Sus scrofa: one gene and its partner. The protein of the gene in region 2 purifies or fractionates together with the protein of the main gene of each other region. This does not show direct contact. Links are inferred from orthologs where the notes say so. Each region holds a gene or a part of one and is shown on either strand. Other genes may lie near its edges.

Region 1 (3,519 bases), on a different chromosome or scaffold from region 2:
CAGAAACAAATCCAACTAGGAACCATGAGGTTTTGGGTTCAACCCCTGGCCTCGCTCAGTGGGTTAAGTACTGGGCATTGCCGTGAGCTGTGGTTTGGGTGGCAGATGTAGCTAGGATCTGGCGTTGATGTGGCTGTGGTGTAGGCTCGCGGCTACAGTTCCGATTAGACCCCTAGCCTGGGAACCTCTGTATGCCAGGAGTGTGGCCCTAAAAAGCAAAAAAATAAAGTAAAAAAAAAAAACAAAATAAAAACGAAAAACCCCTACAATACCAAGCAGCCAAAGACTGGACTCTTGCAGCTGTGTGAAATTTTAGACAAGATTCATACGCCCCCTGCTGGCTCCATAGCATCTTATAACCAGAACCAGAACAGGCAAAGGTAAATGTTCTCATTGAGCTCACTTTAAAATCTGAAGACAGAATGTATCCCACGACTTATTTACTTGTATTCCTTTTAGTGGGAAATAAAGCATATGTAAATTGAAATGTGTGGGGAAAAAAAAATCACCATATGAAGTATAATGTAAGTAACTTGTAATCCATTTTTGAAGGAATTTCACACCACAAAAGGAGTGGTGTATTGAAGATAAAAAAATGAGGAAGAAGAGTCCTGTTCCAAATCCCAGAAAGGCATCATCTGAAGGAGAAATAAACCAATCCTGTTTTCTTTAAGACAGCTTTACTCACTTTTTCTATACTTGCTTGCATTTTTGCTTTAATGTCTTCTACAGAACTAGGTCCTTTCGGTGTTTTAGGAGTTTTTTCCTGTTTTTTGAAGGATTCTTGACCCTGGAAAAAAAAGGCAAATTTCAACATCCTAAGAGTACACAGAGCTGTTAAGACTCATTCTATCTGAATTTTCTCAATAAATGAAATTCTTACAAAGCTTTTCTTGTGAAAAACAAGTATAGGAGTTCTCCTGTGGCACAGTGGGTTAAGAATCCAGCATTGTCACTGCAGCAGCTATTTTTTGTGCTTAAATTATTCCTTAGAGAATAGAAAATAGTTTGAGCCTACATTTGTATTTAATACCAGGTCAAGTTCTACACATAAAGGAAGCAAGAAAGTTAATGCAGCTTGATGCCCAGAGGCCCATTCCCTAGCATATAAATGATCACCTCCCCAAGATGCAGCCAACACCGAGAAACTGCACTATAAGACCCTTGACACAACTTCGTATCACAATAAAAAAATCTTTGTTGACTTTCTCTTCCATTAGAAGTCAGCTACACAATAAACTGGCCCTCTATGTGACAGAAAATCTGTGTGTAACTAATTACAAGCCCTCCACATCTGTGGTTCCTCAACCAAAAGGTGGATGTGCAGTCCTGGAGTATTTACAACTGAAAAAAATCCTGTGTAACAATGGACCCGTGCATGCAGTTCAAACATAAACTGTTCAAGGATCAACTGTCTATGTATTTGAGTGATTACCAACAAGCATTTTTACCAACCACAGGTGTTCTCCAAAGGTCTAACAGATTTTAGGTTCTAGAACCTAATTACTTCAGTGGAGCCTGTACTGATGTGTATGTTACCACTTACTTTTGATCTTGGTGTTGACGGTTTTGAGTCTTTTCCATTCTGGTTTGATTTCTGTGCATTTTTGGCTGGAGTATCCCGTATTGACTGCAATTAGAAATTATTAATCAATGCTCCTCCTATATGACTTATTAGTGCAAATAAAACTTGCCAAACCATATAAAAGCAGCAAACTAAGAGGAAACAATTATCTTGGCAAAAGGGGTATAATAGGGAGAAGTCCATACAGCTGAAGAAAATAGATCATTCCCCACTATTAGGAAAATTTCCAGGACAGCCCTACTCAGGACTTAGAGACTGTCTCCGAAGCCAACAGCACTAAAAAAATCCCCATCATTTTCTGTTTTTAGCCATTTCTGACAATCTTACTTTACTGTGTCTTACTTACTTTCTTTACTGGAGCTTTTTCTTCCGCTTCCTCATCATCAAAGTCATCATCATCGTCACTACAAATGAAGCAAGTCCTTATTACTGAGGGACTCAAAAAATCTAAAAAACTTATCCAGGAAATGGATGAACCTACAAGCTTAGTCAATCAAGGTATAAAGAACTTTCAAACTTGTGGGGGTTGACAAAAGAACTGAAAGCATGGTCTTAAAGATAATCTGTGCTTTCATCTTCACTGCAGCATAACATTCCTAATTACTAAGAGGCAGAAGAAACACAAATGTTCAACAGTTAAAAATGTATTAAAAAAAAATCAGGAGTTCTCGCTATGGCGCAGTGGAAGCGAATCTGACTAGGAACCATGAGGTTGCAGATTCGATCCCTGGCCTCGCTCAGTGGGTTAAGGATCTGGCGTTGCAGTGAACTGTGGTGTAGGTCGCAGATGCAGCTCGGATCTGGTGTCGCTGTGGTGTAGGCTGGGGGCTACAGCTCTGATTAGACCCTTAGCCTGGGAACCTCCATATGCCGCAGGTGTGGCCCTAAAAAGACAAGACAAGAGACAAAAGACAAAAAAAAAAAAAAAATCCATAGGCGTTCCCGGCACGACTCAGCAGGGTTTGATCCCTGGCCTTGCTCAGTGGGTTGCCGTGAGCTGTAGTGTAGTTTGAAGACGTGGCTCCAACGTGGCGTGGCTGTGGCCGTAGGCTGGCGGCTACAGCTCCAATTGGACCCCTAGCCTGGGAACCTCCATATGCCTTGGGTTCAGCCCTAAAAAGGCAAAAAACCCACATCATATACCTATGTATACATATTGTGGAATATTCAGTCTTAAGGAAAATCCTGTCAAATGCAGCCCATGGATAAGTGTTCAGGGCATAATGCCAAGTGAAAGAAGGTATCACAAAGAGACAAATACCGTGTAAGTTCACTTACACTGAAATATCTCAAGTAATCACTTTTTACAGAAACCAAAAGATTGATGGTCGCCAGGGGCTGGGAGGAGGCAGAAATGGGGACTTTTTGTTCAACAGTTATGGTTTTCAGTAGAGTTCTGAGATGTCACACAACGATGTGAATATGGTTAAAACTACTGGACTGTAGACTTAAATAGTGAAGATAGTAAACAGTGAGTTGTTTTTTACAGCTGAGAATTTAAAGAAAATGGATATTTAAAGAAATTAAAATAGAAACATTCCACACACACAGACAGTACAAGATTAAAGTGGCAACTCTCCAAATTAATCTACAGATTTAACAATCTCTAAAAGAATCCTAGCTGGCTTATAAACTGATCCTACAACTCATACTGAAATTCCAAGAACCCAAAGTAGCCACAAACAACCTTGGAAGAGAACAAAGTTGAAGCATTCACATTAAGTGATTTCAAATTGAAATTTATAAAAACCACAAAACAGAAATCAGGATAGTGTTTTACTGGCCAAAGGATCAACATATTCCCATAGACTGGCACTGAGGAGTCCAGAAATAAACTCTTATTCATGCTAACTTCACCCTATTAACAAGAGGGCAAAGGCCATTCAATGGGGAAAGTCTTTCACAAATGGTGCTGGGGACCATTCAAAGCGGAA
Region 2 (3,128 bases):
TACCCAATGAATTCATTACATTTATAGTTGTACGATGACATCACAATCCAGTTTTATAGAGACATTATGTCCTTTGATTATGCAAACCCGAACCCTCTCATCCAGCCACCCTTTCATCCCTTGCCCCGCCCTGGGACATGGTCTCCTCCGCTCCACCCCCCACAAGAAGAGACGTGCCATCTCCAGGCTCCCTGGACTTGACCCCAGCCACTAGTCAGGTCCTCGGACGAAGGGCCGGGGAGGAAAAGCGGAAACGGAGATTCCTGGAGACTCACGGAGAGAGGCTGTCCTCTCTTGAATCTCCCTTTCCTCTCTGCTCCTCCCCGCTCCCCTTCTCGCTTGCTCGCCATCCCCCGTCTTTCCCAGGCACGAGAAATATGTGTTCAGTTCACTCGTGGTGTGGATTTCAATTGGCAAGCCCAGGCCCTGCTGGCCCTACAAGAGGTGAGAAGGGGGCCCAGGTCCAGTTGGGTGAGGGGTGCATGTGGGAGAAAGGTAGCGCTGAATCTCACCTCCTTTATTTTTTATTTTATTTTATTTATGTATTATTTATTTATTTTGGCCCCGCTTGCAGCATGTGGAAGTTCCTAAGTCCCGGGCCAGGGATCGAACCCAAACCACAGCAGTGACCCAGGCTGCTGCAGTGACAACACCAGCTCCTTCACCCGCTGCGCCACAAAGGAACGCCTCACCTCCTAGCAAAGAGCAACAGGGAACACCCAGGGGGTTGAAGGGTGGATTCATGCTGGCTGGCGAACAGTCTCTCCCATGTCCTTTGAGCCCTTAGAGACTCAGTTAGCAGGTGCCCCCTGCCCGCCTCCATCCCCCTGGTCTGTGTCAGCCTTTCTACCTCTCTCTCTGTCCCCAGGCGGCAGAAGCGTTTCTCGTTCATCTCTTTGAGGACGCCTACCTCCTCTCCCTGCACGCCGGCCGCGTGACTCTCTTCCCCAAGGACATCCAGCTGGCCAGGAGGATCCGGGGCATTCAGGAAGGGCTCGGCTGAGCTCCCGCCGCCGGTGTCGCTGGAAGCCTCCCCTGCCCCCCCAGAGAATGAGTGCACTTGGGGGAAAACCACCCAGCCTCCCATCACCTCTGAAGGAATTTGCCTTCTCCATCCTTGGTCCTTTGCTGCCCCGCCTGCCCTTTGTTCTCTGGAAAAGATCCGACTAAGTTTTAACTTGAGTGCCTGGGATTCTTTTGAACAATGTTCTCCTTGACTTTATGACCAGACAACGTGCATCTCTGCCAGAGGAGTCCTCTCCACTTCACAAAGACCAGATGACCTCATTTGGATTAAAAGAAAGTTGTTTTTTTTTAATGCCTTGTTAATAAATGTGATTCCTGAATTTCAGAGATGATACCCAGGACTCTGCCCGTTGCAGGACCAGATCCGCGGAGGACGTGTGAGGTGCCGTCTGGACTTGCCGTCCCAGAGCTGTGTGCACGCATTGCTTTTGTAATTCGTTTTTTTTAAGGTGGAGAAGACCGTATGGCTTTCCTCTGTAACCGAGGTGATGTATGAGAGAATCAACACATTCCACAAGCCCTGAGAAAAATTTTTCAGATGAAGAGACTCCAAGGTTGATGTCACTTTGAAAATTATTCATGTGACTGTTGGATGCTTTTGAAGACATCAGGTGTTCTAGGTTATGGGAGAAAAGAATATTTATTGATTATTTTAGATCTTTCTGTACCATGTAATTTTTTTTTTTTTTAACCATATGTCTATTTACATTTATTTAAAACACAAGGGAAAAGTTAAAAGAAGACCACCTCAGGCAGTTGCATGGAAGAGCCTGACTCAGGTAGCATACAACTTTCTGTCCTTCAGATTGATTTCATCCTTAGTGGCAGCAGCCACTTCCTCTGTGCACTGTGCCTGTCACCAGATCGTAGCTTTTCAAAAAACTCAATGGGACGAAAATAGAAAATCGTTCAGGTTTGATGTCCTGGCTCCTTCTGGTAAATTCCTATCAAAATCATTCAGAAATTCGCACTCGTGGAATTTTATTCTCCTTTGAAAAATCAGAGAAGATGTATCATAGTTTATACGTTAGAATGTTTCATTCCAGGATTTTAAAGTGCCTTTGCGATGTTTTTACAGGTATTTTTTTATAAATTCTTTGTGGAGAGAGAATAATAATAAAAGCAATTTTTTAATGAGAAAAATTGAAGCGGTGCTACTGTTTTACAGCGATTGTACTGTGTTCTCTTGTGGTAGCGCTGACTTATTCGCCTGGACACTGTTTGCCAACGGCTGCAATTTAAACAAGAGAACTGGGGGCGGGGGTGCTTTTGGCCTCCACTGGCCCAGAGTATGAGCAGATTAAAAACCTGGCCTTTCTGTTGTGACTGAAAGCGGTTTAAGAGATTTCCAGGGACATGGAAGTACCAGCCAAGAAAGACTTTTAGATTTTTGTGGATTTTGCGTGTGGTAAAAATGATTCGTGAGGGGCAGATACCAGCAATCCAGCGATCATGTGTCATTCAACGAAAGGGAACCACTGGATTCTGTTGTTTGGTAAATTTTAACCCTTTGGAAAAACCTTTTCCCATTCAACCTCAACTCACTTCGATGTAGACATTTGAATAAAGCTTCTCTGTCTATGAATATATTTAATGTCAGAGGGTTATTAATCAGAAGATTATTCTCTTCCTCTAGTTTTCTTTCTTTCTTTCTCTCTTTTGTGCTGTTTAGGGTGGCTGGTATATGGAGGTTTCCGGGCTGGGGTCAAATCGGAGCTGCAGCTGCCGGCCACAGCCACAGCCACAACCACACCAGAAGTGAGCCACATCTGGGACCCACACAGCCCAAAGCAACTCTGGATCCTTAACCCACTGAGCAAGGCCAGGGATCAAACCACATTCTCATGGATCCTAGTCATATTTGTAACCCACTGAGCCACAACGGGAACCCCCTAGTTTTCTTTAAATTGACGCTTCTCTGTTTTCTTAAAATTGTATTAACCAGGACAGCCCTGCAGCACATGGTCACGTGTCACATTCAGATGCAGGCAGGATTTATGCTCTCAGCACCTCGAGTATCCGGTAACATGAGAATAAGTGATTCACAGGGTGACTGTGTTGTTTGCTGTTGCGGTTGACTAAACAGCACTCACGGTTGCTGA

Evidence for each region. The genes of interacting proteins can lie anywhere in the genome.
Region 1: the proteins of CENPA (region 2) and NPM1 purify together in Homo sapiens (affinity purification with mass spectrometry; 4 studies listed by BioGRID and IntAct, with this or other methods). This does not show direct contact. The link is inferred for Sus scrofa from reciprocal best matches to the Homo sapiens genes CENPA and NPM1.

What each region holds. Positions count from the first base shown.
Region 1 is NC_010458.4:52,771,846-52,775,364, forward strand, and holds part of NPM1 (nucleophosmin), read right to left. Parts: intron 1,990-3,519; coding exon 1,932-1,989; intron 1,631-1,931; coding exon 1,547-1,630; intron 791-1,546; coding exon 689-790; intron 1-688. UniProt on the Homo sapiens protein: Involved in diverse cellular processes such as ribosome biogenesis, centrosome duplication, protein chaperoning, histone assembly, cell proliferation, and regulation of tumor suppressors p53/TP53 and ARF.
Region 2 is NC_010445.4:112,263,399-112,266,526, reverse strand, and holds the end of CENPA (histone H3-like centromeric protein A), read left to right. Parts: intron 1-366; coding exon 367-444; intron 445-868; coding exon 869-1,003; 3' UTR 1,004-2,615; downstream 2,616-3,128. UniProt on the Homo sapiens protein: Histone H3-like nucleosomal protein that is specifically found in centromeric nucleosomes. Replaces conventional H3 in the nucleosome core of centromeric chromatin that serves as an assembly site for the inner kinetochore.